Styela clava: one gene and its partners. The protein of the gene in region 1 purifies or fractionates together with the protein of each later gene. This does not show direct contact. Links are inferred from orthologs where the notes say so. Each region holds a gene or a part of one and is shown on either strand. Other genes may lie near its edges.

Region 1 (8,592 bases):
CTAGAAAACTATCCAGAGGTTAGCTGTTAGCAAAACATTGCTGTCATGCTCAGCCGCATGTAAGCAGTACAAAAGTTAATATGACTTGTGAAAATGGAGCAGTAATTACAGTACTATCAGCGCAAAATGCACGTTCGACGTTCATTTTAGCACAATGAACGTACACAGTTTCACCGAAAGCACGCGCCAAGAGTGCATCCTTCGCAGAAAATGTTGCGTACCGATAGAGAACTTAAGCCTATTATATCATAGCTATTCCTAGAATATTTTGGATTACTGCAATTACACTAGAACTCCTAAGAAGGCAAAATGATGATTGGCATATTTGATTCATACTTGAAAATCTACGAAGTGGAATGAAGTGCGAGTGGATGCGAAAAGGCTTCTGTAACGTCACTTTTTGCGTCTTGCTGATTGGACAATATTACGAAATAAACAAGGCAGTCGACTCTCGGAGAAACATCTCTTAGAGATAAATTTCGAGCAAAACTTTGCGGGCCAGATGAAAGGACGCCGCGGGCCGGAAGCGGTCCGCGGGCCGTAGTTTGGTGACCCCTGCGTTGCAGCATTGTTGCCAGTAGTTGATGACCGATTTTATTATTAATTTTTATCACTGGAATGTGAGTATTTTATTTTTAATAATTCGTGACTTAGCGGGTCACCAAAAACATGGTAATCCGCAAACCGATCAGTTTTTCGTTATCCCAGGCTATGCCATCTATAATGCCCATGACGTCAGCAATGACGTAATAATGTTTTCTGTGCCTATGTTATATCGACATATGGTAGTGTAATATGTATTAGGCCGTCATAAATGAATTTTTAAATTTTACCGGACCGGGTACCGAACCACAGTCATACATTGCACATGAAAACGTTACTAAATAACATGCGTCAACTTAACACCACCTGAATCGGGGTACAAATTTTGGTACAGTGACTGTCATAGCCGTTTAGGGCTGATGGACAATTCGACTACATGGACAACTCACCAGGTCTATCTGAAGTCGAGTTGTCGTCTGCCTCCCATTTCACATGTCCCGTGACAATGATCTACTCTTCCCCATTCAATTGCAATATGAATTGAAATACTAAGTAATCCGTTTCATTCACTTCTCTCCATTATTGGAACAAAATTTAAAAAACAAGCCCCGCTTTTACCAGACAGCTACGAGTTAGTTCAGTGTCACCGCGCTACCGGAACTGCCCTATCTTTAGAAGATCCTATCTTGTGATAGCGGGAATTGAAATTGCAAGATGGTGCGACTCACAACTGTAGTAACACCAACGATCCGAGTCACTACTGTAATATAACACTATTCGCCATTCTTCAAATCTTAGCAAAGCAAGGATTCCAATACGAACCACCGACGTTTGATTGCACGTGATTAAAAGACATGAAGAGCAGTGCCAGCATATGAGTCCGCAGAACGTTGGGTGACGTCATAGCAAACAAAAACAAATCTCACAGAGCCAACAGAAATATTTGAAATAAATAAAAGTAATAGCCTTCTGGAGAAAAAAATCCTTTTTAACCGCTAAAAATTTCAAAGCAAGTGGTCCAGTAATCAAAGAGAAAAGCGACTTTTTCGATTTTCCACTAGGTGTCCAGAAAGTGTCAAAGAACAAGAACAACAACATAATGTTGAAACGATCCATAGGTTCACTACGTGTGCAATTATCATATTTGTGTTTGCCCAAATAAATTAGTATAGGTATATATATATAACTATCAATAGGATCCCCTTTTTGGACACGTAGTGGACATAACGATCGTTTCAATATTATGTTGTTGTTCTTGTTCTTTGACACGTTTTTAAAAAGTCGCTTTTCTCTTCGAATACTGGACCAATTGCTTTGAAATTTTCAGTGGTTAAAGATTAATTTTTTCGCTAGAAGGCTATTACTTTTATTTATTTCAAAATTTTGCGTGAATTCTATGAAATTTGATATTTCGTCAAAAATTTTGCTGTATTATTTTTTATCCATGGGAACACGGATTTTAGTCAGTGTCATGACTGGCTGAACGTTTTGATTCTGCAAAATTCTTGCTACTGGAAATTTAGAACTTTTTTGAGGGTACCGGTAGCGTCAAAGGTACCGGTAAGGACTGATTCGCTCTGGTCTAACGTTTCCATATATTTGTGCGTAGCTCTCTTGTTCAGCATATTAAGGCATTTTAGGGGAAATAACTTTTCAAAATTCTAAATATTCACATTTCGATTTTTAAAGCTAGAGAGGTGGGGCTCTTCATATCTAGACAAATTCATTTATTCGGCCGTATTTATTTTAGTAACCTTTGGAATGAAAAATATTCAATTTTTGGGGAGTAAAGGCTAATTTATAGCTATCCTAATTTTTTTAGCTATTATTAGGGTTACCATATTTTTTTGACTACAAAGCATAGAGAATTTATCTATTCGCCCAAGCATGCTTTTCTGTAGATAACATCGTCAAAAAGATGTTACAATGTTACATTCACGTGAACGTCCGAACAGGACCAAATAGAATGATTTTACACGTGATACGTTCGCTAACAATATTAGCGGGAAACGACGAAACAAACAAAATAGCTCATTCACCTTCAGTAAGTAGGCTAGTGTTGCGCTACACAGCAACAACAGTAACGAGAACATGTTCGTGTGGCGCGGCGGTGTGGCTCAACGGGCTAAGCGTTAGGAATACGCTCGCCACCGCACCTCTAATTACTCTGCGTGGGTTCGCAGGTTCGAATCTCATGCAGGGATGATTATGTGCGAGAGGATTGCTGGACTCCGCGCCGTCGTTGGGTGGTTCACGTAACCGCTGGTCGGTTACGGCTTCCTCCACCATTAAGTCCATGCTTACAAAAACAAAACAATATAACTAATCCCATGCCCGACTTGGAATGGTAACCGGACGAGAGGCCGTGAATCGCCATATGGATAAGCCGTCTTATCGGCTTTCCTCTCACCCGGGATAAATATGTAAATCCTATTATATCCTAATATGCTGGATGGCTGAACTGATGGCTTTGGGCTGACTTGTCGGGACGGCGGGACAAGACGTTAGAAAGCGGGACTGTCCCGCCTAAAGCAGGACGTGTGGTAAGCCTAGCTATTATACATTTCGCCCAAAGCATTTGGATTTTGGAGAAATGGGGATGAAGACTGTATCAGTAGACTCCCTATTTGGAGCGAAAAAAGAATTGATCACGTAGTACGCTATTTTTATTTTAATTTGCACTATTTTTGTGGAATCTTACAGCCGCTAAACAAGGACAGATAATTGGTTTAATTTCACAAACATATTAATCAATTCAGAGCCACATGGCCTTAAATCAAAACGAAACACTGTGAATAAACAGTTAAAATTGTGGCGCTCAGGAAACGTACATTCGTGTTTTCGTCATGTATACTCTATGGTTATGAAAAATTTAATTTATCATAAGATGTAGTTGGTACTTTGCTTTCCCTGACAACAACAAAAAATAATAAATACCCGAATCCCGCATTGAAATTTCAAAATATAAATCTGCCATTTGGTCGTTGATTAACAAATGGCGTCACGGCGCGCACGTGCTGCTCGCGACGGGTGCTTCACTACCTTGCGACATTTCCCCATTTACAAGGGCTTGCGTCGGCTTATCTCCCTCTTTTCGATGTGTTTTTGACATGCCGGCGTTCTATGAATTTCTGTATTTGAAAGTAAGGACTGAGGCAAGTCTGCAAGTGTACCTAGATTTTGATATGTCATCTTTTTACATAGCCTTATGAACTGAATCCGTAGTTCTGTAGTTAGTTGAAGTTTGACGCTGGTTTACAGGCTTAGGACAGACTGACAGAAGAAACATCTGGAATGTTGGTTGAAAGGGTTGAAAGATAATTATGTACTGTTGCCACTGCTGAACTGTATAAGGCAGTAAGGTCCAGCATACCGGTACGGTACTCAGATAGTCCACCGGTACCGTACCTGGATCATGTCATAAGCTTCATTTGACTGTTTGACATTATCTGGTCTTTTGAGAGTTTGGTGTATTAGACTAATCAAAATTTGTAAATATGCTTCTAATAGTCGGAGATTTCAGTCTGTCTTCAAACTGTCTGTTAACCCAGTAACCCTCCAAATTATACTTTTTGAGTTTTGTTTATTTATAAAACTATTGACAGATTGACCTCAAACTTTGAGGTCTGCTGGTATACCGGTAGTTTAGTACCACATGCACTTCTAGTTGGCCCCGGCTCAACAATTTCTGAATTTTTGCATAGGCTATGTCATTCCTAACCCCCACCTGCCGTCGCCGGTCATCCAAAACGCGTCTGCGCGTAGACCATCACCTGAAATTGAGCAAGCTATTTCTCTTGTGTTCTCGACACAACGACCCTCATATGAGACAGATCGCCGATATTTGTGAGTTTGTTATTGGCGGCGCAGATAGCTAGCAGCTATACTTTGTCGAGCTCTACGATGTGAGTGTGACGTAATTATTGCGACATCTGATGATACCTATGCTGGCTTGAATAAATTTTTGATGCTGATGAATGAGATTTGCCAGTTTCAGAGTTTGTAGAAAGGTGAACAGAATCAGAAAAGGTTAGGTATATAAAATTGGAAACTTGAGGCCTGGGGTTCGATTACCAGTTACAGAATTAGCTTTCCAATCATCTACATTTTAACTAGAACTTACACCTTTTGAAAGTTAGGCGTTTTGAGACCTTGGGTCATTGAAAAGGTTCGTCTGAGAAAATCTGGTGTGAACACGATAACAACAATAAACTTGGGTATTATCTGTGTTTTACAGCATTAATAGTTTACAATTTTCAGTAGGATATCTCTTCACACCTGCTCGAAGCTGAGAACATTCAGAACTCACTTTTGTTGTTATTAATTTTTCGTTTTCAATAAACTTCAGAACTAGACGTTGCATTATATTCAAATACAAAATGTCTTCAGGAGATTCATGGTAAGCTATACTCTGTTAGCTTTTGTTCTATAGCCTGTTTGTTTATCTCTTGCCCCATATTTCCTAGTTTGATCACGATGGTAAATTTGTTCGGTACTCCTGTAGTATGTGAACCAAGATGGCGGACACCGAAATGTAGTATGTTTACCAGGTAATGGTTAGGCCATAATTTCAGGTACAAATACTACGGGAGTCACTTGGCTAGTCCCCGAACTCGTAATAGAACTAAAATAAGGAAAATTGGAATAAAAATATGGCCTAACCTGATACACATACTACGTTCTGGTTTCTTGGTTCACATACCACGGGAATACCATTTGTTCACCACTAACAAAAATGAGTATCAGAATTCAAGCCAATCTTTAACCAGCTTGAATCTTGGTTATCAATGAAATTACAAATAGACATATTTAGTAAATAGTTTGATGTGAATTTCTAATTTTTTAACCAAAATTGTTGGAACAAAGTCTTAAAGCAGGTTGGAAATGTTTTCAAAAATTAACAGAGTCCACAAGTTAATTGTATTATTTTTTTATTTTCATAGTGAATATGTCCCAACAATATGGGCACAGCGAAAAGATTTACTGCTGATATCATTTTGTGTCGAAGATTGTAAAAATCCAGATGTGAAATTCGAAGAAAAGAAAATAATATTTAACGGTCAGGGTGGATCGTTAAACAAAAAATATCATTCACAATTAGAATTATTTAAAGAAATAGATCCTAAGGTTTGTTAATTTTTTCTACGTTTGTGATTTAAAAAAAAATATAATTCATGAATTGAGATGTGATTATATATTCAAATTAAGTTTTATTCCATTACAATTTAACACAGCGACTTTCTCAGTTTCTGTTCAATGTTCATAATATGTCACATACTCACATTCATGAATATTGTCTCTGCTCAAAATTATCAGTTCTAATATGGTTGGGAGATACAGATTGAGATTATACAAATAGTTGTGTGTTTTTTTATGCAACGTATTGATACTTTTACACCTAACAAGACTCTGCATAGGGAACCACTAATAGGTAAGGAGCTGCTTCATCAGTTCTTTCGATTCAGCATTGCCTGAGCAGTTTATTAGATAATCCTGTTGTGTGTGAATCAGGTTAGGGTTAGGCCATGATGTTATCCCGATTTTCCTTATTTTAGTTCTATCACGAGTTCGGGGACGGCCTGTGTTAGCCAAGTGAATATACCCCCCTACCCATAGGTTTCGGTCCCCTTACACAACTTGATGTAAAGTATGCGAACAAAATTATTTACTGTAAATTCATATTGGTACACACACTTCTGGAGCGCCGTTTATTATACCCCGAGTTAGATGGCAGGCATGGGATTTGAATCCGAAGTGCCACCATAATTTAGTCTAACACTTTAACCACTTGGTCACTGTTTGTGCAAATCAATTTGTGTAGAAAGACCTGCAAGGCATATAACAAGGTGTAGTTAACAGGGTTAATTTCCAAAATTTCCAACTAACTTTGTTTTGTTAGAAATATCTACTCCTTCTCACGTGTTAATTAGAGAGTTGAAAATATTGAATCTGACTCAATATCTTATTAACTCAGGCTAATAAAATTTGGAACTTTTTGTGTGAATATTTTTATATGTAAAGTTTGTGTTTAAATTGTGTTTAGCAATGCACAGTGAAGAAAACATCAAGGCTAATATATGTACAAGCACAAAAGAAGGAATCTGGTCCGTTCTGGCCAAGACTGTTAGACGCAAAAATGAAGGTAAATTCTTTAAATTATACAATGAAAGTAATTATCTGCATCGACACAAATGGTTACAATCGACACCTAACAAAATTATGTATGTCTGAAGAAGTCCGACCTTGGTCAGACGAAGCATTATAGAAATATATTTGTGTTAGTGTGCAGCAAGACTCTTGAATCACTTCACATGGACAAACATGGCATTTTATTACTCTCTTTGAATACAACCCGATATATAATTTGAGATATTGCCAATGGTACGCAATGATTTAATTTGGGGTTTACCGAAGTCGATTGACCGGGGGCCAAAACTAGAAGCGGGAGGGTATTTGTGGACCCAGAGAGGGGAGCGCCCGCAAGGGCTGTTACTGTAAGCATATTTGAGATACTGGTATAATTGAATTGTTACTTATATACACATGCTCAAACTTTGATAATGATGTAACAAAGTGTTAAACTATTTCACTCAAGTTCGGCGGGCCATAGTAAATCGTTACTCAGGTCGTTATTGCCCCGTGGGCTGCAGTTTGGGAACCACTTATGACTGATTTAATTAATGTGGGTGAATTTTAAAATGTAATTTATTGAGTTTTTCTAGGCATTTAAACTGCATGGAAAATATACACAACTGTTCCTGGTATTTAATTTGACTATACTACGATATCTAAACAAACTCATTTATGATTTCAGCAACATTGGTTGAAAATTGATTTCAACAAGTGGAAAGATGAAGATGAATCGTCAGATGATGATACAGAAATGGGGGGTATGGGCATGGGTGGGGGCATGGGCATGGGTGGTGGCATGGGCATGGGTGGAGGTCAACAACCTGATCTTTCTCAGGTAAAAATGTTTTTGAAAACTGTTATGTGATACTGTAATGGGTAAAATTAGTGTATGCTTTTGAAAGAATATCTTTGATTATCAAATCAAGTTTTACACACGATTCTTCGATTGCTTATTAAATATTCTTATTAATAATAAACCTTTATTGAGGCTAATTTTGTGTGATTTCAGTGTAGTCAATTTCATTGCAGCTCATTATGTATTCACTACAAATATATTCATTTATTTTTATGACCTCATTATTTATAGATGCTACAACAGATGGGAAGGGGAACTGGAAGCGCTGACTTTGGTGATCTGGATGATGGCGATGATGATGAAGGCAGTGAACCTGATAGTGATGATGAAGGTATTTAATAATATATTAGATTTTTATAGAAAACAGAGCGAGTGTTTATGACTGGACAGCATTTTGTTCCTGAAGCTCTGGCTGCTGTGAATCAAAAAGATTACTGCAGTTTTTTGTTGTAAGCCTTGGATTTCGATGAAAGGGGAGGCATGAAGCCAAATACTCCTGTCCTCACCTATTACACATCATAGCTGTTCCCAAACTATAAGTCGTAATAGGTATAAAAATGGGTCGCAACTTTTTTTTACAGTTTTCAAGTTCTTTATTTCATTATAGACTGAACGTATTTCATTTGGCTTCTTTCTAGGAAGAACTATATCAAGTTAAGATTTGTTGAATCTTTTGTAGAAAGCCCCACCAACGCTCAGAATTACAGTAAATTACAATAATATTTAATGACAGTAAAATATACCAAGCCGCTGCCGACTGGTTTACATTAGGTTCCGATTTTTTGGGCACAGTCAACCTGTACATCACACAAGGTGTATAAAATTCGGTTCGACAAAAACAAGTGCTAGTATACCTAATATAAATTAGATTTCATTTTATTAATGTTCAATGTTAACTATGCTTTTGCTCCTTTGGTGCGGTGAACTCTACCTTTTATTGGATCTCTCTCATTTACTGTACTTACGATTTCTCAGCATACTGATACTTCTCAATTTGGTAGCCTATGATATGGACGTTCATGTCCATAAATCCATAAATGAATGCTTTGATTTTTAGAATT
Region 2 (8,108 bases), on another chromosome or scaffold:
AATGGACCTTTAGTTATATTCCACTGTTTTCAAAAGATCCGGAACGTCGCGCAATGTGGATATCATCTATTGGCAGGACTGCCTGGTGTCAAATCCAGAAGTCATCTCGCTTGTGTTTCACTGTTTGCGGACAGCACTTCGTTGATGGTGAGTGATAATGTGCCAATGCCATTATCAATTTCTTTAAATATTCATAAGCTCCCTCATTTCAATGGAAAGCAGATGGCAAACTACTGTTATGGGTAGGCCTAGGCTTAGGCCTACTTGCAGACTTGACTTGTGTAAGGAATTAATCATCAATTGCCATAAGATATTGTTGAATTGTAAAGTTGTAAATATTGTAAAGTTGAATAGATAACTAAAGTTAACGCCAGTGCTCATGCAAAAAATAACCAGAATTCAATTGAATTTGCCATCTAGGAATACGCTCGCCACCGCATCTCTGATCACCCTGGTAGTTTCACAGGTTCCAATCCCATGTAAGGATAGTTATGTGCGAGAGGATTGCAGCTCTTCTCCCACTGAGGGTGGTTCACACGACCGCTGGTCGATTACGACATCCCCCACCATCAAGTACATGTTCCTGAAAACAATTAACTGGCTAACTAATCCCGACATAGAATGGTAATCGTACGATGTTGCATCTTGCAATCCCCCCAACCCCCCCCCCCTCAGATAAATCTTATCCTAAAAACTACCGACATTGGTAGGCATATTTGCGTTTTAATTGAAAGAACTCTTTATCAATGGCCAGAATGGTGTTGTCTGATTGTTTCGTTAGTTAGCAGGTACTCTATTACTGATCTGATGTTTAATTTCTTTTCAGGATAAAAGAAAAATGACCCAATATCAGCAGCTTATAAAAGCCATCAATATTTGAATTTTCGCCATCCCCAGAGAAGAATAGTTAGAAAAAGAGGAGAAAGGCAAAAGGCAGGACCATTTCAACAAATTCTGTTAACTTGTATGCGTTGCAATATCACTTTGCAGTTGTTAGCATAAACATTTAATGTGTCTTTCGAATAGACCTACCACACTTTAAAAAAAGCCGCCTATACCCATTTTCACTAAAACCCTAACACTGTGAAATATTTGATAGAAATTACCCCCAAGGCACCATATCTTCCATTTGAAAGGGCTGTGGAGGCAGATACATTTTTTACTCTAAATTATGGAATGTTACTTCCAGGTTATCTTATCCTTGCTTATAGATATCTTGATGTTAGTGACTCCAACTAGCCCATGCATGCCACACTGAAAATTTTCTTGTGTACCGATGAAATTAAGCAGTTGAAGCCTTCAGACCTTGAAAACAGTCGAATCTGAGCACGATGGATTTATGTGAAACACGTAATATGCATTTATAAGCAAAAATATCCCATCCTGAGCAGCACTGATCCACAACCTCCTGCCTATGGAATCAAAACATTAGACAAATTGGTGTACTGTGCGCATTCACAAATCTTTGCAAATCAAGTGTGCCTTTTGACTAAGAAAAATTTAGCATTGAAATGGTCAATCTCAATATAAACCTGGTATCTGCAGATAAAACCAATTGTTTTTTAAAAATACATTTTTGATCCTAAGTGATTCAAGAGTCTTGCTGCACACTAACACAAATATATTTCTGTAACGTTTCGTCTGACCAAGGTCAGACTTCTTCAGACATACATAATTCAGTTGAATTATGTATGTCTGAAGAAGTCTGACCTTGGTCAGACGAAACGTTACAGAAATATATTTGTGTTAGTGTGCAGCAAGACTCTTGAATCACTTAGGATTGTTATCTCTACTCTTGCTACAGCATCCTTGCAATATATGCATACGGATCCACCGGCACAAAAGCATAGAAGAAGGATAAGTAGTTAGTCTCGCAGAAACCAAATAATAAGTACATTTTTGATGTGCTTTATTTTTCAAATATAATTTATAATTACTGTAAAGTGTTTGATACATTTGGTACCATGAATACCATTTGCAAATTAGCTTGGGTTACACCCCTCTCATATAAAAGTTTACACTCTAAGTCAAATCTCATAATATTCTTTAACATCAGAATTTTCTTTCAGATCACAAAGTCGCAATATTACGCCTCGCTAAGTTTCATTGGCAACTGTATTTGGTTGTAGTATCGGTGTCCAATTAGACTGAAACCTTCACTACCAGACCCACCGAAACAAAAAAAAATTCCTTGATAGGGTCGTATTGAAGTTGCTTTCGTTCAAGCACAATGGACACTTTATCTCCACCAATCCACAGTAACCACAAGTTACTTTGTCATTACAATAAGCATCAATAAAGGAATACTGAGGATGTATTATCAAGTCACGCAAGCTGAGGTCTTGTGCCACTGTGGTCTTGTTGCAACTTATACTTTGCCATCCATCTATTCCACGGTCGCACCCATATCTGTAAGAAAATGGATACAGATTCATTCGATATTATGATCCTGCACTAGCTTTGTAATAATTGTAGAGTTTTCATAAAATCTAACGATCAAGTGGTGTGAAATTTATGTCCATATCCCACCACAAACACTAGTCGTAAATGAACTTGATTAGCATATCCGGGTAGCATATCTTTTTTACCAATGACAATAAAAAGACATTTTGGGTCAGTTGTACAAGCACCTTTAAGATAGGATTTATCTGGGAGGGGAGGATTGCAGGTGCAACAACTAAATCATATAGCGAACCACAGTCTCTCGTACGATTACCATTCTATGTTGGGATTAGTTAGCCAGTTATTTGTTTTCAGAAGCATGGACTTAGATGGTCGTAACCGATCAGCGGTCGTGTGTGGTGGTAGAGCTGCAATCCTCTCGCACATAATTATCCCCGCATGGGATTGGAACCTGTGAAACTACCAGGGTGATCAGGGATGCGGTGGCGAGCGTACCTTATTCCTAGATGGCGAATTCAATTGAATTCTGGTTATTTTTTACATGACCACTGGTGTTAAACTTTAGTTATCTATTCAACCTTCACACTTAGCAATAGATTACTTGCTAACTATAACTAGGGAAACAATACCTTATGGCAATTGATGATTGATTTCTTACACAAGTCAAGTCAGCAAGTACGGTACCGGTACCGGTAGCCTAGGCCTACGCCTACCAATAACAGTAGTTTGTCATCTGCTTTCCATTGAAATGAGGGAACTTTTTAGGGAGGGAGGGAGAATATTAGAGGAAATTGATAACGGCACATTATCACTCACCATCAATGAAGTGCTGTCCGCAAACATTGAAACACAAGCGAGATGACTTCTGGACTTGACACCAAGCAGTACTGCTGCCGGTAATAGATGATATCCACATTGCGCGACGTTTCGGATCTTTTGAAACAGTGGAATATAACTGAAGATCTATTTCGTTGTCTAATTATACTATACGTACAGCCAACAGAACAATACGGTGGTCACGTGACTTTGTTTACTGGACGGCAAAAAAACAAAAACGTCCATTTGGCTCCTGTCAGTTGCAAGTCGGATTATACCGGTACCGGTACGTTTCCGTTTTGTTTGGCTGTCGAAATGGCATAGACCAGGGCTACTCAACTGGCGGACCGCGGTCCGAATCCGGACCTTTCGGGTATTCGATTCGGACCGCGACTAATTCTTTATTTTGGATCATTAGCCCCACTTCTGAAGTTTCCTTTTATAAAATCACTTTTATAGGTTTAAATATATACTGGTAATTCACATAAACTGCTGAAACAGAGACTGCCTGAAAATTTGACTGTTTTAAAAAGCGTGTCTTTGTTTTCTGTCAGCAACATACGACATACATACTGTGAGCAGGGTTGCCAGACCCCAGCGATCAAAAAAAGCCAAATCAAAATTTGAAAAAGCCAACATATCTACTAAGTACAAAAGCCCCATGATTTGTCAGATTTTAAGCCCTTGACAACATACTGATGGAGTGATGGTGATGTAGAGCTATCAGTTCATTCAGTGAGGCAAATAAATAGAAAGTAAAGTTCCTATAGAACTGTAGAAAGTAAAATAAATATCAAGCGGACAGCATCATTTTACCATTCAATATATACAATACAGGGTGCTGCTTCAGTCTGTCAGTATGTAATATACCTACATGTTTCTACTTAAACTTGTGATATACCGGTACCTTAAAAAATTCTCCCTATATCGTACTTTACTATTGAAAATTTGTTCACTTTTAAAATTTATAAACCATCAATTTTATTAAAAAATGCCGCTCACGAGTGAACCCATGATATCTAATTCAGTAATTTTAGCAAAGTTAATCACATCGTTACTGCAATTGCAGAAATAAACTAAAGCTTACATAAACCATATCAGGCATAATAAAATTAAGTTATACAACTATTTTTTGGAAACGGAACGTAAAACTGACAAATAACACGCAAAACTATAATAACAAGGCAATGTTTACAACCCTGCTTTAACATATGTCTGAGCAGCTGCAGAAACTGCAATTATTTCTCATTGGGTATGGTTAAGAGTTAATGCATTAATAATGTAACAAACAAGGAAATCGATGCTCCAGGAAATCCTAATGTTAAGTAGCTAAGTACGTGTAATACAGTAATAGGCTATTGTATACTGAAATATTGTAGGCTACTTCATATGATTTTAATAATAGAAACTAGAATGACTTGAAAAACGCCGAAAAACCAAACGGAAATTCTGACGCCAAACGCGTTTGAAAAATGGCAAATTTGGCGTTAAAAAAGCCAATATGGCAACCCTGACTGTGAGCTGTCAGAAAAATAGCTATCTCAAAAAACATTATTGGCAGGGCAAAAAGTAAGCTACAAAACTTCAATCTAGTAGAATCAGAAAGTGGAACAATATCACGGCAACAGCAATGTACGCCAGCAATGTTACTACGTCATTTAAATGCTGGTGTTAAAAAATATTAAGTGCAATAAACTGGAAAAAACAAACTACTGAACTAAGAAACAGCAGGAAGACAGATTCACTGAATGCAATACAAGTCATCATTAAATTCAACCTACCATAATTCCGAATAAACAATGTTGCATGTCACATAGGGAACCTGTTCCGGTTTAAAAAAACATGTACAACAGCAGTAACATATAAAAACCCTCTAAAGCAACTGTAGCAGCAACACCAACTTTAAATGATCTTCTACTATGATGTAATATAGTGAACTATTTGTACTCTCTTCTTATGTTTATTTTTAATTTCTGGATGTTTTGTTTTCCCATCTAGATATTTTTTATACTGGTATACAGACTGAACTACGCTTCATAGCCGAGGAGTCCAGCAATCCTCTCACATATAGCCTTATCACACAACTGCATAATGCGCCTTACCGCCGATGCAAATATATTATCGTTATTGTTCATATATATTTGCCTGAAGGTAACCAAAAATACAATTTTTTTTTCAGACTTAATAGTATTATCATAGTGCTACCTCCTGATCATGGACCAAGGTTTGGCCAAAAAACTGTTTGAAGAAGGTGCATTTTTAATTCTTGTTGATATGCCGAAAGGTACAGAATTTGGAATGGATTGGAATTCTTGGATTACCGGACCCAAATTCAAAGGTGTTAAAATGATTCCCCCTGGCCTCCACTTTATTTTTTATAGTTCAAATGGAAAACATGGTGGCCATTCATCTCCAAGGTCTGGATTCTTCCATTTTTTCAAACAGAGGGAAATTTTTATTAGCCATTGGGATGTTAATAATGAGGAAATCCAATTCTCTCACAAGTCTGTTGATGAGATGAATTCACTCAGAGAAAATCTGAAAAACTTGGATAAAAATTTGGCGCCTTATCCATATGACACCTTAGAAAAATGGGTGTCTCTGACAGACTGGATTAATAATGATGTTATGGTTAAACTTCAACCCGAAAACGGAAAAATTCAGTCTGTTCCCGAGTTAATTTCAGAAAGCAATGTTTCACCAAGTGGGAGAGAGATGTCGGAAGAGAGTGTCAAAGTGCCAAGATCAAGTGCAGTTGACGAGGATGGACTGCCTATACTAAAACCTAAACCTGGGACTGAGATAAAATTTTCAATGATACCTAAACAATGGTATCCCCCAAACGCAACTCCACATGAAATTTCAAAGCATAGTGTGGATTCATCATACATTTTAGGACAAATAATAAAAAACTCTTCCCAACCTGAAGACTTGCTTGGTGAACTGCAGTTTGCATTTGTATGTTTTGTTTTAGGGCAGGTGCTTGATGCTTTTGAACAATGGAAATCCCTTGTAAATGTCCTATGTTCTTGTGATGACTTGCTGAAAGAACATCAAAAATTGTACGAGAGTTTACTTACAGTATTTTATCATCAACTCAATGAAATACCAAAGGATTTTTTTGTTGATGTTGTTAGCTCTAATAACTTTTTAGTTTCAACTTTAACTATACTTTTTAGTAATCTGCAAACTGAGGGAATTGATGCAAGTCTACAAAAACGTGGCAAACAGTTTCAAAAATATTTGACTAAAAAATTTAAGTGGAATTTTAAAAGTGAGCCAGATGATTGGGCGCCTGTGGTTGTAGAAATATAAGAATATAATTATGTTGATGGATTTCAACTGAAATTACACTTTTTTCATATAAATGGGTCATAAAATTTTGTTTAAATTTAAGATTTTAAAGTAGCTCAATCGGGATCAAAAATTACATAGTGAGTCAGGTCGATTCAAAACAAACCTATTTCATAAAATAAAATACTATTGTTAAACAAAATATTTGCTACAATTTGTAAATATGTTTATACTGAATGATTCCACATCGTAAGGAAAGCTAGGAATGGAGGAGCAAACTGGCTACAAAATTGTAATGCCCCCATCTCTTCCTGCCCTCGTTGACATTGCGGCAATTAAAAATTGAAACTCAGTGATGCATCTGTTGTATCACACTTACAAATTAAAATAGTCTGTGATGTTTCATGTCATTTTTCTTATATCATGCTTAATTCTCCATTCAAAATAATTGGATATTTCACCTACAAACAGCTTCCAAGCAAAAACATTATTTTTCTTCAATTTTTGCCATCTAGATATACTAATTGATATAGACTACTACACTAATTGTGGAGAAAATAAAATGTTTTATTGAATTCAAAATGTAAGTAAAGGAACATTTTTAGAGTAACTATGAGTCTTGCTCTGAGACCAAGATTGTGGACCAGGCGTTTTTTTTTCTGCCATCGCAACTACAATGTGGCTGTAGAAGGAGAATTAAACAACGATAAGTTGATGGAAGAACAGCTTGTAAATGATTTATTTGGAGGTACAGGAGGTTCAAAGAAAATTCCTGATAAACTCGAGAACACTTCGACACTTTTGTTTCCTGGGCAAGGAAGTCAGTATGTTGGAATGGTGAAAAATCTTTTGAAATATCCAAATGTCAAAGATATGTTTGATGTTGCTTCGGAAATTTTGGGATTCAAATTATTAGACCTGTGCATCCATGGTCCTAAAAATCAGTTGGATAAAACCATCTACTGCCAACCTGCTGTTGTTGTTACCTCACTTGCGGGTGTTGAAAAGCTTCAAGCTGAAACACCAGAAGTTTTAGAAAATTGCATGGCAGTGGCAGGATATAGTGTTGGAGAATATGCCGCCCTCGTGTTTTCCGGAGCTCTGACTTTCGAAGATGCCATCAGCTTAGTGAAAATCAGAGCACTTGAGATGCAAAAGGCATCTGATGACACTGGTGGGGGAATGATTTCTTTGGTTGGTGGTGCAAAAACTAAGTTCAACTTGGCATGTACTGATGCAGTGGAGTATTGTCATGAAAAGCTAGGCATGGAAAGAGTTCTTTGCAGGGTTTCTGGTTATTTGGCACCAAATATAAGAACTGTAGCTGGTCACCGTGCTGCGCTTGAATATCTATCATCACAAAAGCAAAATTATCACATCAGGAGGGTTCAGATTCTTCCAGTGTCTGGAGCATTTCATACTGCTTTAATGCGACCTGCAGTTAAGAAAATGAAGCATGCACTGAAAGCTATTGAAGTAAAAGAACCCATGGTGACGGTTTATGGCAATATAGATGGCAAACCATATAAGGACTCGGCTGACATTGTCGAAAAACTTCTAGAGCAAATTATAAGACCAGTTTTGTGGGAGCAGAC
Region 3 (8,540 bases), on another chromosome or scaffold:
TCACCAATTGCTCTTCTTATACCAATTCGCAATACTGTATATCAAATTATTGCTAAAAATGCTTAAAAATAGGATGAGAGAAGTTGTTTTGAAATTAAATCCTGTTTACATAATGTTTTAACGCCATTAGAATAAATATTGATGAACAAGGCAAAGAAAACGATGTCTTATGGCTTTAAAATGTATTTTCGTACAAAAATACTTTTCGTACAAAGATACTTTTTGGGACCTCCTGAAGTATGCGCACCAAGATGGTGCACAACCTGAACTCATGTTGTGTACTAGGTTAGGGTTCAGGTTGTGGACATCTTGGTGCGCATACTTCGGGAGTACCCTTTTTTGTTATCAAATTATCGTGGCCAAGTTACCTGATGACTTTATAAAATTTTCTTCGTTGCACGGTGGTCCGTTTTTGTTCTCATTTTGTAAAAGATTTGATTCATTTGCGTTGTTCACTTTATCTTCAGGTTGTTCGAAATCAAGCCCGGGAATGCCGTTTTCAGGTGCAACTCCAGGTGTATTTTCAAAAAACTGAGATGAGTTAGACGAATTATTTAAATCAGACACTTCTGACGAGAAAGATGATTCGTGATCGTTCTGCTTTGATTGTGTACCTGTATAAGTAATATTATAAAACGTTTATATATTTAAACATCAACATCGGCGCTCCAGAAGTGTGTTACCAATATGGAGGCAACCCAATTTTGTTCGAGTTCTTTACATCAAATTGTGTAAAGGGACTGAATCCTATGGACATTGGACAGGGTGTATATTCACTTGGCTAACAAAGCGAGTCCCCGAACTCGTAATAGAACTAAAATAAGGAAAATCGGAACAAAATCATTGCCCAACCCTAACCTGGTACACACGATACCGGAGTACATTACGGGAATACTTTTCTTTTTTTAGAGGATATAATATTACATAACCAAAGCCCAAATATGCATAACGTTATATGCTTTGGAAGTGTCGTTTATAAAACTACAGTTGATTATTGTAAGAAAAGAAATATTATATTTATTAATATTATACAGTTCTTTGAAACATAAATGTATGCTTGAATATTCAGTAATGTCTGGAAAACATCAGATCGAGCAATAAATTGTTATCGTAAAATTTTATTCTATCATTAGAAAACGCGCAACCTTATGATTCAACTTGGTCACATTCGAATAAAATACAAAAATAAATTCAGCAAATAAAATGAAATATATTTATTCAAAGAACAACAACACTAAAATATAATATTAATGGTACTTCATTTTTCAATATCATTTAGTTACCAGATTAGTGTTAGCAACAACCAACCAGAATGGTTTTTATCTAAAAATACTGAAGACTACGCCCTATACATGACATGGTTTAGAAATTAGCATGGTATACTCTATTCAGAAACGAAACAAGTAGGTCTGAAGGTTTGGGTGATCACTGGTAATTCAAACTATCTGATGACGTCAAGAAATATCAGTGACAAAATGGTAGTTTTTTTGAATGTTTTAAAATGAGGAAAGTATTAAGATATTTGAATTACCTAAATTTTGCAGTTGATAATCTTTCTCGCATAAAATATTTGAATCGTACGTTTTGTAAACTCTATCTCCCGTCATAATTTTTCTCGAACAGATATTGCACCGAAGACAAGTTTCGTGAAATATAAGATCGTGTACTCTTCTTACGATTTGATCCGCCATTAATTTATCATTACAACCACGGCACTCAGGTCCAAAACGTCTGTAGAAAATAGAAGGAAATAAATTTGTAGTTGTACAGATTAGTTGTCTACTTATAGTTAGTGGTAGTAGTCGAAATTCCAAAACACAGCTAATTTGTCATCACGTATCGCACGCATTCAGATCCATTGGAAAATACTAAATTATAACAAACAGTAATGTTAAACTATAGCTAGTCCTAATGTCTTGTTTGTCACGAAAGTCTGTCTAGTGGTTTAGAAAAGTGAGGTAAATAATTTTGAAATTTATTCTTAATTGTGAATTTATCTACAAATAAGAGTTATATGCATAAATATATTGATAATTTCCCATTTGAATATAAATTATCAGTTCGTATTACGCTACTCCCTTGAACTCACAGTTTGAATATTAATAACAGCTTAATGATCGTTATGATATAGAAACGATTTACAGAAAGTTTGTAGTCGAATCAAAGTGCAAAAATATTATATTACGCTCTTTTTTAGAATAAAATGTTGAGACGTAATCAAATACAGATCAAGCAGGATGAATTATGGCTGGAGCTTTGTAAAAAATGCCCTAATCATCTTGTAATTATAACTGCTTTGCAGTATATATATATAACTTAGTAACATCTATATAAAAATAGAATTAGCCTGGTTTTCTTCAACTTAAATTTATTTCTTGAATATGCAATACTTAAATAAAATAACTTATAATAGAGGTAATTTTAAAACAACTCACCTAAAATAATCTTTTCTGCAATATAATAAGTCGTTTTTCGAATAACATTTCTCGTCAAGCAGTTCATCACAATCGTGACATCGGACACATTTAGCATGCCACAAAAATCCATCCACCCGGAATATGAATCTATCTAAGATGTGGCAACCACAAGCGTGACATGGGGACGGTACAGAAGAAGAATCCGAGTTATTCATATCTGATGCCAGTGAACCAGAAGGCTATGTTCTTGAATTGCAGAGACGATGCTACTGATTGACGACTGATCTGATTTTTATTCACGGTAACATCTGACTTGAAATAAAAATCGCCTTTTTCGTGACCTTTTTTTCTCAAAGTCAGAGTCACGCGTGCCAAAAAGAACCGTAAATTCGCACCCACTTCGCTGTTTTTAAAATCCTCCGATCACATTTGACCGAACATAAGTCGTAGAAAATCTGCATCATTTTGTGCAAATTGGATGAATTCCATGCTTGATGAAGCTTGATCGCGTGTTCAATTTTTAAGCCCTCCCTTCTTCGCTCACGGTCGTTGTGTATTTCTCCCTCTCTCCCTCCGTGAAATAACAAATCCGTTATGGTTATTGCAGGCTATTTATTTATCGATTACACAAAGATTCGAAGTTTAAGTAAAGAATTAAAACTTCAAAAAAACTTTTGAATAAATTTGAATAAACAACAATTCAATTCCTCAACATTTTTAAGCTTACCATTATTCAGTAATCATAAAATCATAAAAAAAATCACGTAGTCAATAGGCATAAAAACGGGAGTTTTTGTGTTTACACAATCAGTTTCTATTTTGTCGTCAGGTCAGCGTATGGTTCTGAAACAAAAGAACAACTTGAGTTAATTTTGTAGCAAATATGATGCTTCGCTGGTTAACTTCCCTAGTTCTCTTTTAGTTATTTGAGGTTCTTCATTAACAAGAATCTAAGTCGAATGTAACATCAAATGTCAAGCAATAATCGACATGTATAATACAAATTTAAACGTCACTCAAAACTTTCAAAATCTCTGTGAGAATCGAGCATTGGCTCCTCCACATTGATTTTCTGATGCGTACGCCGGTCAATGATGGCTCGTGTTTTGTGTTATGAAGAGAATTAGACAGGATTACAAGAGGATTAACGTAACCAAGGTTTGATTTACAAAAATGGTCTCTATAGTATATATAGAATATCTGGATAATCCTAATATATAGACAGACTTGGCGATTGCTCGATCGTAATGTCGATATTAGGCCAAAGTTTGACCCTAACACGTCTCAATTTCATCAATAGAACGTGGTGCTGTCGATTTGCAGAATGCGAGAAAATTTGAATCAATTTGTATACTAATTGCATCAAAATCGAACATAGATAATTTTGTTATTACCATCAGTACATTAGCTTATTCTAACGAAACAAAATAGCGTATAAACTCGAATATCTATACTTGCATCTCATGTGCTTATAGATTATCAAACATGATTTTCCACTCCCGGAAAGAAATAGCATAGGCATTCAAGTATATTGATGCATTTGCAGCTACCAGTACAAAATTTGATTATTGTCCCGCAAAATATAAACTTTATGGGGCTCAAAATTTCTTTTATTTGTTAACAGCCTAGGAGAAGTAATCGATTTTAAAGTGAATACCAAGAACGTAGGCTACGTTAAAATAAGAAAATATCTTGGTGCTACTTCCGTATGCGAAGTCAGCGGTTGTGTGATCTCAGTGATTTTGGTATAGTTTAATAACTGGATACTATGAGAATGTCTTTGTGAAGTCAAACGCATACCAACATGGCACGATTCTTTTTATGAAAATTTTGGATGCGCTTCTTGGGAACGTATCTTATCACTTACGTAGAACATAGAACATGAAGGGAAAATTCTCGAGGCATCTTATGCCTTAATGAATTGACATTGGAGTTCTTTGGGTTGAGTAAACAAATACGTTCAGATGCGCAAGATTTTTCTTAACCCGTGAGCCTGGTCTTTTGCAGGTTAGACCACGGTGGCGGGTGGCTAAATCTTACTACAGTACTTTATTTTCATTATATGCATACAGAGCTCATGCAACTCGAAATGTTTCTGCAATTCTTTTGTGTCCATGCACCTCCGGCTAAGAATGGTCATGTTAAAAAAATTTCCAAACAACCTCCGTATTGTATATATGTATGTTTATTTGCATACATACAATACGGCAGTTGTTTGAACATATATTTACGGTTTGAAGAGGTTTCAATTCATGTATTATCGTATATATTACACCACCGTATATTTTGATTGCAGCCATACGCTAACCTGTAAAATACTCATAAAATTATTGGTAAAAGTTGAATTAAAAATAAAAAAATTTTAGGGTCAGAAAGATCTGCGGGACAACCACATTAAAAAGAATTTCGTGGGGTTGGAACAACGACTAACAAACCGGGCTGGAATTACGGCGATTTGAAAATTAGACGTTGCCAGATTTATCGCAGTAATCTGTTCCTAAAAAATCATAATTAGCATAGATTTCAAAATTATAATATTTGATTTATTTATGCGTAAAATTATGTCAATAATTGGCTTTTGATAGAAATAAATACATCTACTATACGTGACTGCACCAGAATATAGACGTTGAATAAATTAAAACCCTGGCATCATTCAACTCCTCGCATGTTTTTGTGCTAGGCCAGCCCCCAGCTCTAGAATTTTCTAAGTCGTACTTCGACAGTTCTGCATTTCTTCTGTCACCGATACCGTGGTTTTTACTCTACCAACTGATTAGCTCTAGACTAGTTGGTTTTTCATTTTCAGACTTTCCTATTCTTTTTTCGTTCGATAATTTTTTTGCAACTCAGAATGGCAAATGAAGAAAGTGCAACCAATGCACCAATAGATTTGACTTTGGTGCAGAATGGAGGAGTATTGAAGGTTGGTGAAATTTGAAATTTTTTGTTGTGATTTCATTGATTTTAATATAAGACAGTAAGAATAATTATTATTGGTGCGACAATTTTCAGTGTAATTACACAATCGCGGTGACGTGAAAATTGCGGGGAATTTAGATGTTTTGTTACTGGTTTAGGATTTTGGCCAGATTGCGTGGCCCATTTTTGTTGTCTAAAATTTCGGTGGCCCATTAACTTTTTGATCCAAGGTAAAGATTAGAAGAAAAAAAAACTTGTTTTTCAAAATAATATTTTTTCTTAATAATTAGAATGAAAACCAGCATCATCATTCATCGCTACTACAATAAAATTTAACCATAGTGACATAAATGAAACTGAATTTTTCAATGATTATAGCACTTTTAATAGGCGTGTGGCTCACCTGAAAATGTCACCTGTTTGATAACCGGTGCATTATTCAGTCATTTAAATTAGAAATTGGGTTCCTTAGTTCCCAAGCAAATTCTAATATTCTGTGGAGCGCTATTTTCCATTTTTATTATACTTGCTTAGCTGACTTTTAGTAGAAATTAAAAATTGAGTCCCTCTCTGCCATAAACTGATAAATAGTGAAGCGCTCAGGTCGATGAAAAAGTCTTTATTTTTGTAGGAAATAATCACTCCCGGAACATGTGATGAATCTCCATCGGAAGGTTGTAACGTTTTCGTTCACTACACAGGAACTTTACTCGATGGAACTAAATTTGATTCTTCTGTTGATCGCGGAGAAAAATTCTCTTTCAATTTGGGCAAAGGTATGGTTAACTTTGAAAATCTGAAAATATTCACAGCACATCACCATGAGGATTCAACAAACCGAGAATATTTTCATCTCCCATAGTATTTACTGTGTGATTGTATTTTACACTTCACTGCTTTTTTCACGAAGTTATGATTATTGTATTCATCTTTTTGTCATGTTTTCTAATCTGATTTTCTAATTTTCAAAACGACTTTTTTGGTAATTTGTGAAAAAGCGAACATATCGGTTAAAAATTTTTTGCAGAAAACACCTTTTACTACTTTACGATTCTATTTTTTAGGTCAAGTTATTAAAGCTTGGGATCTCGGTGTTGCTTCCATGAAAAGAGGAGAGAAATGTAAACTGACTTGCAAGCCAGAGTTTGCATATGGAGAGAAAGGAAGCCCACCTACCATTCCAGCTAATGCTACTCTTGTATTTGAAATTGAGTTATTTGATTGGGAGGTAGGTATATAGGATTTGAAGTTTTTCAAATAATTTGATCAAGACACAATCATACATAATTACTCAAAAGTGGAGGATGCTCATTCCTGAGCAAAGTTTTTGGTGACCCTAAGATGCCTAGAGCTATTAAACATATGAAGGAATGATAAAACACTACATGTCATTATTACAAAACTTGAAGTCTGTGTGATTGAATCCTTTTCCCAGTATACCAATTAAAATTTTAGTTTGTAATATTCAAAACAGGGTTCTTGAGAATTGTGATAAATGGAATTATAGTATTTTAGTAGATTTTTTGTAGTATAATTATCAATCAATTAAAATACTATTTTTTCAAGTAATAGTGAAATAAAAAATCCAACAATTTGAATAGAATTATCACTAGTCAAATTTGTGTGTACAATAGATAGAATTTACATGTTTATCTCAGGAGAGAGGAGAGAGAATAAGACTGCTCAATCATATGGTGAACCACAACCTCTTGTTGTACGGTTACCAGTCCATGGCAGGTATATGATTAGCTGGGTATTAGTTTCAGATGCATGGACTTGATAGTGGAGGGAGCTGCAACCGACCAGTGGTTATGTGAACCACCCTATGGCAGCGAGGAGTCCAGCATTCTTTTTGCACATAGTTGTCCCCAGGGGATTCGAACCTGTGAACCAACATAGGTTAATCAGAGGGGCTGTGGCGAGCGTATTTGTAACGCTTAGCAATAATTATAATAGAATAAATTGGAACAACAGTTTATTGACTTTCATTCTGTTATAGTTTGAAGATGTTTCTCCCGATAGTGACAAAAGTATAACAAGACAAGTTTTGAAAGAAGGCAAATTGTACGAAACTCCCAACGATGGAGCTAATGTATCAATTGACATCAAGGGATCATATGGAGATACAGTTTTTGATGAGAGGTCATTGAAATTCAATATCAATGAAGGTACAGACACGCAACACTGAATTTTAATCTATTGACTGATCAAAGACAAGATTAGATTGTTGGAATTGTCATAGAGTTGAAAGTTGACCTTGTTGATGGTGTGTTTGCACCTATTCAATCTGAACAATTGTATAGACAAGTAGAGCAAAGAGATGCTGCCTGTTTAGATATTACTCACAAAATTATTACCCTCGATGTGATGTTGCAGGTATAGGGTCCCAAGATCTTTTATCTTATACAGTGTTGTCCAAATTTTTTAATCCCTACCCACTTGGAACTGCCAAATTTTTGCTTTTATATAGGTTAGTGACAAAAATTTTTTTTAAAGAAAAATAAGTATGGCTTGTTTTGACAGTATTGAGTACTGCGATGTCGTGGTAACCCCAGTAAATATTCACTAACATGATGAAGTCAAATAAGCAATGTGCTAACCCCTATACAATTTTTTGTGAGCCATAGGATATGTGAAGTTATATCTTATATATATTTGCAGTGTGCGCCACTCTATAGCAACCTCATAACATTATTTAGCTCGGACTTTTTTTTATAATAGAAGAGCTTTGGACTTGGGCTCGGTGATCGATATAACTCAAACCAATTTCAACATTTTCAAATTAAAAACTGTATTTTGTAACAGATGAATGTGAGAATATTCCGAAACCTGTTGAAGATTCCATAAAGAAAATGAAAAAAGACGAGACTTCACTGTTTCGAGTAAATTCGAAGCATGCTTTCGGAAGCGAGGGACATGAGGGTTTAGGTGTGCCAAAGGATACCGATGTCAATTATGAAATTCATTTGAAAAACTTTGAAAAGGCAAAGGAATCGTGGGAAATGAGTGATGAAGAGAAAGTGGAACAAGGAGAAATTATAAAAGCAAAAGGAACAACTTTTTTCAAGGTTTGCGATTTTCGTTAATGTATTGTTCGTCTTCACTACCAAATCTTAACGATAGGTAATATGAATTTAAACTTATTTTTATTGTTTTTGATGAAGTTATTTGAATGAAGATGAGCCTGACTTCAACTTGACA

The links.
Region 2: the proteins of co-chaperone protein daf-41-like (region 1) and protein AAR2 homolog purify together in Homo sapiens (affinity purification with mass spectrometry; 3 studies listed by BioGRID and IntAct, with this or other methods). This does not show direct contact. The link is inferred for Styela clava from reciprocal best matches to the Homo sapiens genes PTGES3 and AAR2.
Region 3: the proteins of co-chaperone protein daf-41-like (region 1) and peptidyl-prolyl cis-trans isomerase FKBP4-like purify together in Homo sapiens (affinity purification with mass spectrometry; 3 studies listed by BioGRID and IntAct, with this or other methods). This does not show direct contact. The link is inferred for Styela clava from reciprocal best matches to the Homo sapiens genes PTGES3 and FKBP4.

What each region holds. Positions count from the first base shown.
Region 1 is NC_135259.1:4,438,497-4,447,088, forward strand, and holds the start of co-chaperone protein daf-41-like, read left to right. Parts: upstream 1-4,764; 5' UTR 4,765-4,922; coding exon 4,923-4,942; intron 4,943-5,486; coding exon 5,487-5,670; intron 5,671-6,586; coding exon 6,587-6,685; intron 6,686-7,357; coding exon 7,358-7,510; intron 7,511-7,762; coding exon 7,763-7,862; intron 7,863-8,592. UniProt on the Homo sapiens protein: Cytosolic prostaglandin synthase that catalyzes the oxidoreduction of prostaglandin endoperoxide H2 (PGH2) to prostaglandin E2 (PGE2).
Region 2 is NC_135254.1:12,007,325-12,015,432, reverse strand, and holds protein AAR2 homolog, read left to right. Parts: upstream 1-5,368; 5' UTR 5,369-5,433; coding exon 5,434-6,534; 3' UTR 6,535-7,029; downstream 7,030-8,108. Other genes in the region: malonyl-CoA-acyl carrier protein transacylase, mitochondrial-like, read left to right, coding at 7,126-8,108. UniProt on the Homo sapiens protein: Component of the U5 snRNP complex that is required for spliceosome assembly and for pre-mRNA splicing.
Region 3 is NC_135261.1:9,013,752-9,022,291, forward strand, and holds the start of peptidyl-prolyl cis-trans isomerase FKBP4-like, read left to right. Parts: upstream 1-5,111; 5' UTR 5,112-5,271; coding exon 5,272-5,343; intron 5,344-5,970; coding exon 5,971-6,115; intron 6,116-6,403; coding exon 6,404-6,567; intron 6,568-7,338; coding exon 7,339-7,507; intron 7,508-8,144; coding exon 8,145-8,407; intron 8,408-8,540. Other genes in the region: LIM/homeobox protein Lhx1-like, read right to left, coding at 369-614, 1,532-1,731, 2,436-2,632. UniProt on the Homo sapiens protein: Immunophilin protein with PPIase and co-chaperone activities. Component of steroid receptors heterocomplexes through interaction with heat-shock protein 90 (HSP90).